Saccharomyces cerevisiae S288C: one gene and its partners. The protein of the gene in region 1 interacts with the protein of each later gene in a biochemical or structural test. Each region holds a gene or a part of one and is shown in the gene's direction. Other genes may lie near its edges. The genes, in order: TIM23, TIM50, COX4 and PAM18.

Region 1 (2,935 bases):
AATACCATTATTTGCTATCAGGATCTTGGATATGACCGTGTGACCACCGTGACTCTTAACAAAGTCCCTTAACGGGGACTCCTCTAGTTTATCTACTGTATTGAGGCCAATGAAATGACCTGGAAGTTCTGTATGTCTTTCTGAGTAGTTTGTAATTTCGTACTCCATCTTCTGTGGAGAAGACTCGAATAAGCTTTCTTCGCTCATGGTAGAAACTTGATTTTTTCTAATTTTCTGCGCTGTTTCGGGAACGGAAAAAAATTAAGCTAGAAGACGAATCGGTTATTATACTATTATATTTGTATAGTATAGTAGCGTGTCGTATCGTATCGTGTCGTATCGTATCGTATCGTTAAAAGAAAATACACGAATAAATAATAATATGTGGAGAAGAAAAAGGGAAGTTTCTTGTCTCTTGCTCTGAATCTGAATTCCAATTCAAGTTCAAATTGTTCTCTAGTTTATTGTCCAAAAATAAGGATGAAGCGGGAGGGAAGGGCAGAGGGAAAAGTTCGTATAGTAGAATGAATAAACTTTTATAAACACATGCACCGATCACTCACAGAGGATAAAAAAATGGCACAACAAATATATATATATAGATGCAAATGGCGATTGCAAATTAGGGAATTGGCTTTGTTGTTTTTTATCTTCAGGTAAACTGTACGAAAGGGATAAAAAGAGTAGAATAAGGAAAGGAAAATTGAAGAGAGCAGAACAATTGTAGAACCGATAACAATTGTGACAGTGATTGTGCTAGGCTATACTGTGCCAGAATACGACTGGGAGTGCTGTTCTTCTTATATATCTTGGCGCTGATTGAGCGTATAGCCTAGTTCACCAAGCAGTAGAGAGAGTGGCAATGAGCGGTTGAATTTCGACTGCGACTTGTTGGCACAACGCGCGCGCGGCCGGGCCATGTGAAGATTTTAACGGGCGCAACGATTCGGTGGGCAGTGGAAATTGTTGGGCGTTGTTCAACAAGATGAAGCATTCCCCTTTGGATAACGTCAACGCATATCGGGCCAACCTACAGGCAATGAGCGAAAGCGACTGAAGCCGAGAGATGTGCCCGGAGTTTGTTGTTCTTGTTCTTGTTCTTGTTCTTGTTCTTCTTGACGGATGATACTAGTCGCAGTCGTGGTGACTCTGGAGGGCGTAACGGCCGTGATGCGGCCTGAGCTCACTGTGACGTCGATGCATGCGCGGGTTCGTTGCGTTCAGGCCTGACGGGCGATTCCCCACCAAGTATAAGTGTCATGATATACGCGGCACCTGAGCAGCACATTAGGTCCCAATTCAACCCAACATATATAATGGTTCTGTATGGGTATTTTAAGTGTGCAAACAAAATGTGAGTTACCCGGCTGTTTGCTAGTCGCTGCGTACGAACTGGCTTGCTAAAGCTGGGTAAAAATAATTTAATCGCAAAAGGAAGAAAAGGAAATCGACGATTCATTGAAAAAAAGAGAAAATACTGAAAAAAAAAAGACACCGACAAAAAAAAGAGAGAAAGGAACCTTTACGTAGAGCAAAAGGGAAACATTTGTTGCGTTTAATTAATAGAAATAATAGGTTATTGCATTCGCCCTCCATTGCAGAAAAAAAAAAAAAAAAGACCATTTTCCTCTTCTACTCTCTTTGCCTGTACATACTACACGTTATAGCGTTAACAAAAGCAGATAGAAAAAAAAAAAATAACCAAGATAATATAGGTATACTTGTTTAACAGATCACACACAATCATGTCGTGGCTTTTTGGAGATAAGACACCTACCGATGATGCGAATGCTGCCGTGGGCGGCCAAGATACAACCAAGCCTAAGGAACTATCGTTGAAGCAGAGTTTAGGTTTCGAGCCAAACATCAATAACATAATATCAGGTCCTGGTGGAATGCATGTCGACACCGCTAGGCTGCATCCTTTGGCTGGTCTAGACAAGGGTGTGGAGTATTTAGATCTGGAAGAAGAACAACTATCCTCGTTAGAAGGCTCACAGGGTCTGATCCCTTCCCGTGGGTGGACCGATGACCTATGTTACGGTACCGGTGCCGTCTACCTGCTGGGACTTGGTATCGGAGGGTTTTCTGGTATGATGCAGGGTCTGCAGAATATTCCGCCCAATAGTCCCGGAAAATTGCAATTGAACACCGTCCTGAATCACATTACTAAGAGAGGTCCCTTCTTAGGTAATAATGCGGGGATTCTCGCGTTGAGCTACAATATCATCAATTCTACAATAGATGCACTAAGAGGCAAACATGACACCGCGGGCTCCATTGGCGCTGGGGCCCTCACGGGCGCTTTGTTCAAGTCTTCAAAAGGTTTGAAACCCATGGGTTATTCCTCGGCAATGGTGGCCGCTGCGTGCGCCGTCTGGTGTAGTGTCAAGAAAAGACTACTTGAAAAATGAGCAACACAAGAACCTACTCTCTCTCTCTCTTTCTCTCTCTCTCTCCCTCTTCGCTTTTCCCCCATGCACTGATGGCGCTTGTATATAGCATTTGAAAAATAATAGTACGTAACGCAGAAAACAAACCAATGAAAGTAGAAACCCGGAGAAAAGATCTAAAAAAACAAAAAAAAAAGATGGAAAGAGCGCATGTATGTGTAGATATGTACATATATACAACTACTTGTATGTTATTTGCCTTTTGTACTGTTAAGCTATTGTTTTCGATGGCCAATTAAAGTAAAACAAACCGCTCACTCTCGGGTATTTCCCGAAACTGTCAGAGCCGTCCCGGCCCACCGATTCGCCCGGCAAGACCTGCTTGGAAGCAGCACAAAGCCCTGCGGCCTCTGTACACCTCACGCTAAATAGCTGCTAACGATCAACACCTGACCGAGATAACAGCAGCAAAGAACCCGCAAAAAACTGCGCCGTCTAGGCCTCAACCCTTGCTTCCTACAACCAAACAATGGTAAAATATA
Region 2 (3,787 bases), on another chromosome or scaffold:
ATGACACCCAATACACTAATACTGTTGACAAATTACTAAAGCAGTTCAAGGTCTACCTGAATTCTCAGAATAAAGAAGAGATAAACAAGCATTTCCAATCCATAGAAGCGTTCTGCGATACATACAACATCACTGCTTCGAACGCAATAACAAGACTGGAGAGGGGCATACCAATTACAGCAGAACATGCGATATCCACTACCACATCGGCTCCCTCTGGTGATAATAAACAAAGTTCTTCTAGCGACAAAAAGTTTAATGCTAAATACGTCGCTGAGGCCACTGGTAATTTCATCACTGTAATGGATGCTTTGAAACTAAACTATAATGCAAAAGATCAATTACATCCCTTATTGGCTGAACTGTTAATCAGCATAAATCGCGTCACCAGGGATGATTTTGAGAATAGATCAAAACTCATTGACTGGATTGTCAGAATAAATAAACTCTCAATTGGTGACACTTTAACTGAAACACAAATTAGAGAACTTCTGTTTGATCTAGAACTAGCCTATAAAAGTTTTTATGCTTTACTGGATTAAGAAATAAACAAATAGAAATTATGATAACATATATAAGTACACAAGCGTTTCTATTTCACTTTAGAATATTCTTGTTTTTTATTCGTTCTTGAAATTTTGACAACATTGCCAAAGTTTCCCGCTCTCTTTTATCCATTGGTTCTTCCTTGATGTTTTCTTGACTTTCCGTTTCTTTAGTGGTTGCCTCATCAACATTATCATGCAACTCCGTCTTTTCCCTAATTAGTGCCTCTTGTGGCTGATCTAAGGATGCGTCTAGTTTAATTCCTTCACTGCGACTATCATCTTTGATCCATGCTGGGAGAATCATTCTCTTTCTTGGCTTAAGCTTTTGAACATCACCATCATCATCCTCTTGCTCATCTTCATAAACCATCTTTACTTTTGCTGATTTCACAAGTTTCTTTGCCGGCTCTTGTTCTTTTTTTTCATTATCTTCCAGTCTTCTTTTTGATCCAAAGATGTCCTCAAAGAATGGTATGGTAATCTCAACATCCTTCAAAACTGCAGGATACATGAATCGTTTGACATCATTGTCACGGGAGGAAGCTTCAATTTCGCCGCCCAAGATCTCTCTAAAGATGTAAATAGATTTCCCAACAATTTTGCCAAATACATTACAATCGTTCAGTACGTGCTTAGAATCCGCCAGCACAGTTATAAACCATGTGTTCCTTCGTCTATCCCATCCCAAGAGTCCATCTCTATTGAAGCGTATACGAGGATTTTTTTCCTCAGCAACTGTACGGTACTCACCAGTACTATTTGCATTAAACATTAGCCACTGTGTTGGCTTTAACTCTTTAAATTCTCCATTGGTGAATGTGCCATCTGAGAGCATAGATAAGAACCTCTTACATGTCTCAGGGCATTCTTTAGCCCATAATTCAATGGCAATGTTCCCCTTTGTTGTATACAGTATACATTTAGCTGTTGTCTGAGGTTCTATATTACTGGACATAGCATTCTTACTTTGGTTTAAAACTCATCATACATGTTTCCTGTAATACGCTTTGAATAATAAATTATTCAATAAATTATTCTCAGGACATTTTGAACCTTTTTTTCTCTTCAGACGCTTTACAGCGGAAAAGGAAAAAAAAAAAATTGGAAGTTCTTTCAGTAAAGTGAGATATATTCAGCAAACGAACATAACGTCAGGATTAATCGGAACGGTAATTTCTAGCATCCACTCAATTTCGTGATTAGCTTTTGGCGCATAACTGATTTTTTGCTTTAGCACATCACAGCTAGAATAAACTTCCAAAAATCACCCGCTTGCAATGCTGTCCATTTTAAGAAATTCGGTGAGACTAAATTCAAGGGCTCTTAGGGTTGTGCCATCTGCCGCCAACACCTTAACATCGGTTCAAGCATCCAGAAGACTTTTAACAAGTTATTCAAGTTTTTTACAAAAAGAAACAAAAGACGACAAGCCTAAATCCATTCTTACAGATGATATGCTGTTCAAGGCCGGTGTTGACGTCGATGAGAAGGGCCAAGGCAAAAACGAGGAAACATCAGGAGAAGGAGGAGAGGACAAGAATGAACCTTCTTCCAAAAGTGAAAAATCTAGAAGAAAAAGACAAACTTCTACAGATATTAAAAGAGAAAAGTATGCTAACTGGTTTTACATTTTTTCGTTGTCTGCGTTGACAGGTACTGCAATCTACATGGCAAGGGATTGGGAGCCTCAAGAGTCTGAAGAATTGAAGAAAGACATCGATAATGGCTACACTTTATCACTTATGTATAAAAGATTCAAGGCCAGGTTCAACTCAATGTTCACCTACTTCCAAGAGCCACCTTTCCCTGATTTACTACCTCCACCACCACCACCACCGTACCAAAGGCCATTAACTCTTGTTATCACATTGGAAGATTTTTTGGTTCATTCTGAGTGGTCTCAAAAGCATGGTTGGAGAACGGCCAAAAGACCTGGTGCTGACTACTTCTTGGGTTACCTATCGCAGTATTACGAAATTGTTTTGTTTTCATCCAACTATATGATGTACTCTGACAAAATCGCTGAAAAATTAGATCCAATCCATGCATTCGTATCTTATAATTTGTTCAAGGAACACTGTGTTTACAAAGACGGTGTGCACATTAAGGATCTGTCAAAATTGAATAGAGATTTGAGTAAAGTAATCATTATTGACACTGACCCTAACAGTTACAAATTGCAACCTGAAAATGCTATTCCAATGGAGCCATGGAATGGTGAAGCTGATGACAAATTAGTAAGATTGATTCCATTTTTGGAGTACCTTGCCACTCAACAAACCAAGGATGTTAGACCAATCTTGAACAGCTTTGAAGACAAGAAGAACCTAGCAGAAGAATTTGATCATCGTGTGAAAAAATTGAAGGATAAATTTTACGGAGATCATAAATCTGGTGGCAACTGGGCAATGACGGCACTAGGTCTCGGAAATTCCCTGGGCGGCAGCACCAAGTTCCCGCTCGATTTGATTCATGAAGAAGGACAAAAGAACTATTTAATGTTCATGAAGATGATTGAGGAAGAAAAGGAAAAAATTAGAATACAGCAGGAGCAAATGGGCGGGCAAACATTTACGCTGAAAGACTATGTTGAAGGTAACTTGCCTTCGCCAGAAGAACAAATGAAAATACAATTGGAGAAGCAGAAGGAGGTAGACGCCTTATTTGAAGAGGAAAAGAAAAAGAAGAAGATTGCTGAATCCAAATAATTTTCATGTAAACCCTCTTCTCATGTATCTACGTATCTATGTGTGTATGTAAATGTACCTGTACACTCCCCACACCCTCATTTTGTTACTGTCATGTGAATAAAACTTATGTATATTGCTAACTTACTACCACTGCACCTCCTAACATCACCATACTACGTACAAACACGCCTATTTATTTTTTCTATGTTAAATTTTAACGATGTAGACACACCTAATGATCTGATGCGCTTTGCATATCTCATATTCCTTCACTAGCATAAAAATCCAAAAAAAAAGAATATTTAGGCCGAATGGAATTATTCGTAACGTCATACGAAAAAAGTTTCAATTCGTACAATGCCTGGCATGTTCATTCGAATATAAGGCCGCCGCCTTCCAGTCAGGGTAGCCAAAAGTATAATCCCGGGTGGAAACTAAACTAAAAACCGTACTCACAACTTTCCGCGGACGCTAACAGACAAATAGACACACTATCAGGTCAGGAACTGCCGTCACATACGACACTGCCCCTCACGTAAGGGCATGATA
Region 3 (2,516 bases), on another chromosome or scaffold:
GGTAGTACTGGTATTCAGTTTGGTATCCAACAACATCATCAATACGTATTCGGCAGCATTCTCCATCCAACTTTCTAGTGTGTTTTGTGCAAAAATCCCTCGCTGGTTCTGGTCTATTGTTTGTACTATAATTTGTTTGGTATGCGCATTAATAGGTCGTAATCATTTTAGTACTATTTTGGGAAATTTCCTACCAATGATAGGCTACTGGATTAGCATGTACTTTATCTTATTATTCGAAGAGAATTTAGTATTCAGAAGGTTTTTCTTACATTTGTACACCAAAGAGTTTCCTACAGTTACAGGAGAAATAAATGGACCGGAACTTGTTGGATCTTCAAAAGAAGTGGAGAAAGATGCAGTTACTAATATCCATTTGTTAAAAAGAAAACATAAGGTGACTAAACATCGTTACAATTGGGACAAATGGGAAGATTATGAGGTTTTAACGCACGGTTATGCAGCAACATTTGCGTTTATTGTAGGAGTTGCTGGTGTGGTAGTTGGTATGGCGCAAGCCTATTGGATTGGCCCAATTGCTGCCAAATTTGGTGAATATGGTGGTGATGTCGCAATGTGGTTAAGTATGGCGTTCTCAGGTGTTGTATACCCTCCTTGTAGATACTTAGAGCTACGTAAATTTGGTCGTTAATTGAAATGACATAAGTATATATTAAAACTACGGTGCAGCGGCAAACTTTAGTTTAGATAATATTGGCAGGTAGATTCATGGTATGTTAAATTACGCTCAGGGAGGATATTTTTTTGTACACATTATCTTTTCACATGAAAATCTAAGCCTGGTGGACAATTGAAATCATCGAGTGATATACTGACACTTTGAACAGTAGCACAAATCGTTTAATTTGCTGTCACGATCTAAGTTTTCTGTCAGCTGACTGTCCACCAATAAGATCAGCGGATTCCAAAGGCGTCCTTCGAAAAAGCGATATCTCCCATCTTGGTTAGTAGCAAATAAAGGGAAGAGAAAATAAGACACACTCAAGGATAAAATACTTCGCTTCTTCCAAGTATAAACACAGGAAAGAAAGATATACGAAGATTAGAATTTTTTTCATACTTTTTACAAAACATTTTTTTGTACTTAGGCACGCTAATTGCGTAAAAATTAGCATAAACAGGAAATAAGATTATTTTGAAATGTATGTTATAATCCTCTTATTGAAAAATACATGAGATGTAGGAGAAGAACTACCAGGAAAGAAGATATTTAACAGATCGAACGAAACGGAAAAGAACTAAGAGAAAACAAATCTGGATTTGACTTTAAGAAAAAATTTATTTGCAAGTTTAACTCGTTCCCTGCTTTTCTATTTGGCTTGAGACGATAATTGCATAATTGTCCAAATTGTCCATCATATAATGAAGAATTCGATGCGAAATATTCCCTGTCACTTTCCTTTAGTCAACGTATTCTTCTCCCTGAAGAAACAGTATACTAACAATACTCACCCATTTCGATTTTGATGTTGCCATACAAATAGATAACAAGCACAATGCTTTCACTACGTCAATCTATAAGATTTTTCAAGCCAGCCACAAGAACTTTGTGTAGCTCTAGATATCTGCTTCAGCAAAAACCCGTGGTGAAAACTGCCCAAAACTTAGCAGAAGTTAATGGTCCAGAAACTTTGATTGGTCCTGGTGCTAAAGAGGGTACCGTTCCAACAGACCTAGATCAAGAAACTGGTTTAGCTAGGTTAGAATTATTGGGTAAATTAGAGGGTATCGATGTTTTCGACACCAAACCATTAGATTCGTCCAGGAAGGGTACCATGAAAGATCCGATCATCATTGAATCTTATGATGATTATCGTTATGTCGGTTGTACGGGTTCTCCCGCTGGTTCACATACTATTATGTGGTTAAAACCAACTGTTAACGAAGTCGCCAGATGCTGGGAATGTGGTTCTGTTTACAAACTAAACCCTGTTGGTGTTCCAAATGATGACCACCATCACTAATCTTATCATTCAAGTTGCCCTTCTGTTTCTCTTTTACTTTTTACCTTCTTCTTTATTTATATTTTTTTTTTTGGAAACCTAGCGAATATTCTTACCAGGTCTGAGCTTTTACACACGTCATGTTAACAAAGTTCCACAAGAAAGTTCTTTGCAGGAAGGTTAAGGCGAACGCTTTGCTCTATCTATAATGAAGAGCCAAAAAATACATAACCAAAAAGATCGAGAAAAGGTCGAGATATATTTTTATTTAAAAATTCTTATTAATATTAGTACTATTCATGTCATAACTGATTACTATTTCTATCTCTGTCAGAGATGGCTAGCTAGAGGTTGTTGCGAAGTTACTTCCAAAAGATTCTAGACTGTGCTTACAGCATCCATACACCCACCCATACATACTGATTTCTTTTTTTAAAGACGTCGATTTTTCGAAAAAAGTAAATTCTCGGCACAGGGAGTTGAATTGAACTTCCCTGCCCCGACGGTAAGCAGCTTACCGGTATTGCTTCGTTCTCCTTGGGAGATGTTCTC
Region 4 (3,015 bases), on another chromosome or scaffold:
ATTAGGATTGTCAAAACACCCCAGTATTATTTGGGCTCGTAATATGATATAAATCAATAGTCATATGGCAACTTGGCCGAGTGGTTAAGGCGAAAGATTAGAAATCTTTTGGGCTTTGCCCGCGCAGGTTCGAGTCCTGCAGTTGTCGTTATTTTTTCTTTTTCTTTTTTTTTTCTCTGAAGCAGAGATGGAGAATAATGAATGCCCTTATTCTAGGACATAATTCACTATATTGTATTGGTTACATACAGCTCTATTTGCTCTTTTTAGAGAACTACGACAGTGTTATATGAGCCAGTTAGTTCTAGACTTAAAATGTTTGAAGGATAAAATAGCAACGAATTACGATATTCATAACAATGTTTACGGTGGAAACGGAATGGAACCAAACATTATTCATCCGTCCAAAAGATTCAGGATTGTTGTTCGATTAGTAGATTTCTTGTTCTGTAAATCGGATGAAGAATTCATTAAAGGTTTTTTCTGTCAAATGATAGTTAGAAATCTTCATTGCCTCAATTCAACAAATGGCGCAGAGGAGATGCGTTTGTATATGAGCGAAAGATTATTTTCAGCCCATAAAGATGATTTGAGATTGATAAATGGGCAGGTACTGGATGTTCGCATTGGGGTATGGTATGGAATACACCAAAGTCCGCCAATTTTTGAAATCATTGATTTTAAGATACTATCCAGGAATGACGTTCGTGATTTCTGTGAATTTGTCAAATCACCACTTGGTGAGAAGTTTCTGAACATCTCTAACTCCTAAGTCAGACGTTTGGCATATACTGAGATTATATAATACCTTTGATAAGAATGTAAGAGGACCCTTGAAAATAGTTATTGTAATGTTATGTAATGTAAATAATAGTATACAGGTGATTCTTATTTATCCCATGAAATAAGTATGAGAAAAGAAAGGAAAGAGGCAATTAGCCCGGTTCTGTTCTAACTAAAAAGCAATTTTCTTTGTATTTCTTCTTCTGTTCTTTAGCAGAATCTTTTGCTTTTCCAATTGTTCTTCCTCTTCCTCGTCACTGTCGATTTCCATATCCTCCTCTTCTTCTTCAGATTCCTCTTGTTCGGATACTGATTCAGCTCTTTCTTGTTCTTTAGCCAACTTTCTGGCAATTTCAACTTCTCTGATTCTCAATAATTCTGGGTTAGATTCGACCAATTTCTTATCTCTTAAGAAGTCCTTTTCTTTGTTACCTCTCATTCTATTCTTGTAGAAGGCTCTTTCACGTTTTTGTCTAATTTCTTCGATTCTAGCCATAGCCTTCAAAGTTGTGGCAACTAACTCTCTATTGTATCTAACAGGGACATTTCTTCTTTGGGCAAAAGTCAAGGTAGAATCCACAGCCAATTCTTTTCCGGCAGCCTTTCTGAAAGCTTTGGTCCATTTTAGTTTTCTTGGGTTACGACGTTGCTTGAATGCCTTGTGACACTTAGAACGGCAGAACCTAAACTCTTTAGCATCGTTACGCACAAACATGATCCCATGACCTGGATAACATGGGGATGAGCAAAAATGGCATTGATAAATTCTCATTTTTTTATACTTACTAAACTTCTACTTCCTTTTCCTTTTAGTTTCTGAATGTAAATCACGGGGAGGTGGTGGTAACAATATGGACAACTCACGCTTGAATAGCAATATCTTTCAAATCACAAGTCGAAGAACTTAAAAGTGGTATATCACGGATCAAGATAGAAACTGATGTAAGTTGGAGATAGGGTGGGATGAGATGAGATGAGTTTAGAAATACATTATTTAATAAAAGACGAGTGAAAATTTTTCACTCCGCTGAGTTCGAGGCGAGCGGGCAAAAAATTTAAAGAGCGAGAATCGGACCAAATGTGAAAGCCATTTGAATCAACGTAGGACTCACTCGACGGAGACCCTTGAACTAGACAAAGTACGAATAGTAGTGGAATTTGTACGTCTCCACTGGCCGAGCACAGTTTAATAAGGTTGCATAAACACTTCCACCCGCACAATATCATGAGTTCTCAAAGTAATACTGGTAATTCTATTGAGGCACCACAACTACCCATTCCTGGTCAAACTAATGGCTCTGCGAACGTTACTGTTGATGGAGCTGGTGTTAATGTCGGTATCCAGAATGGTTCGCAGGGTCAAAAGACCGGAATGGACCTTTATTTTGATCAAGCTTTGAACTACATGGGAGAACATCCTGTGATAACAGGTTTTGGGGCCTTTTTAACTTTATATTTTACAGCCGGTGCATATAAATCAATATCGAAGGGACTTAACGGTGGAAAATCCACTACTGCCTTCTTGAAAGGCGGATTTGACCCGAAAATGAATTCTAAAGAGGCTCTACAGATTTTGAATTTGACAGAAAATACATTGACTAAAAAAAAGTTGAAAGAGGTTCATAGGAAAATTATGTTAGCTAATCATCCTGACAAAGGTGGTTCTCCATTTTTGGCCACTAAGATAAACGAAGCTAAGGACTTTTTGGAAAAAAGGGGTATTAGCAAATAAGGTAAAACGGGAACCTAAAATGAGTTATTGCAATTGCATATATGCCTAATACAAGTGGTATAAACCTCGAACCGTGTTCAATCACATGCCGTTTAGGAGATTAAAATACTTCGGGCAATCAAATGTTTGTATAGATAAGTCTTGTAAATAACACGGAAAGCTATGTATTTTAGTTTAAATAACGTATACGCCCTCTGTGATTAGCGATGAACCGCAACGATCACAATTCTTGCTTACATGGGTAATATAATGCTTGAAACAATCAACATGCCAAATTTGAGACAGACTATTCTCTCCAGTTTCCTCATTCTCTTCTCGGCATGATTCGTTGCCGCACCTGACACCTTGAATTGCCAGCTTGTGGCAATTTTGGCAAGTGTTCAAATTGTACATGGATGTTAGATACTCTTCTAGTTCTGCTATACAGCGAAGATCAATACCGAATTTCCCTTCCTGAGTCCTGTAAAACCATTTCAGTTCGCATAATCGGAGTAGTAAGT

Evidence for each region.
Region 2: the proteins of TIM23 (region 1) and TIM50 form a complex in vitro, tested with the Saccharomyces cerevisiae proteins (12 studies listed by BioGRID).
Region 3: the proteins of TIM23 (region 1) and COX4 are reported together in a solved structure, tested with the Saccharomyces cerevisiae proteins (2 studies listed by BioGRID, with this or other methods).
Region 4: the proteins of TIM23 (region 1) and PAM18 form a complex in vitro, tested with the Saccharomyces cerevisiae proteins (4 studies listed by BioGRID).

The regions. Positions count from the first base shown.
Region 1 is NC_001146.8:661,168-664,102, forward strand, and holds TIM23 (protein transporter TIM23), read left to right. Parts: upstream 1-1,745; coding exon 1,746-2,414; downstream 2,415-2,935. Other genes in the region: acetyl-CoA carboxylase ACC1, read right to left, coding at 1-207. UniProt on the Saccharomyces cerevisiae protein: Essential component of the TIM23 complex, a complex that mediates the translocation of transit peptide-containing proteins across the mitochondrial inner membrane.
Region 2 is NC_001148.4:428,114-431,900, forward strand, and holds TIM50 (protein translocase subunit TIM50), read left to right. Parts: upstream 1-1,825; coding exon 1,826-3,256; downstream 3,257-3,787. Other genes in the region: ESCRT-I subunit protein VPS28, read left to right, coding at 1-542; putative peptidylprolyl isomerase CWC27, read right to left, coding at 598-1,503; YPL062W (uncharacterized protein), read left to right, coding at 3,782-3,787.
Region 3 is NC_001139.9:149,173-151,688, reverse strand, and holds COX4 (cytochrome c oxidase subunit IV), read left to right. Parts: upstream 1-1,517; coding exon 1,518-1,985; downstream 1,986-2,516. Other genes in the region: TPN1 (Tpn1p), read left to right, coding at 1-652. UniProt on the Saccharomyces cerevisiae protein: Component of the cytochrome c oxidase, the last enzyme in the mitochondrial electron transport chain which drives oxidative phosphorylation.
Region 4 is NC_001144.5:165,077-168,091, reverse strand, and holds PAM18 (Pam18p), read left to right. Parts: upstream 1-2,008; coding exon 2,009-2,515; downstream 2,516-3,015. Other genes in the region: TEN1 (Ten1p), read left to right, coding at 290-772; RLP24 (ATPase-activating ribosome biosynthesis protein), read right to left, coding at 956-1,555; Smc5-Smc6 complex subunit NSE1, read right to left, coding at 2,690-3,015. UniProt on the Saccharomyces cerevisiae protein: Essential component of the PAM complex, a complex required for the translocation of transit peptide-containing proteins from the inner membrane into the mitochondrial matrix in an ATP-dependent manner.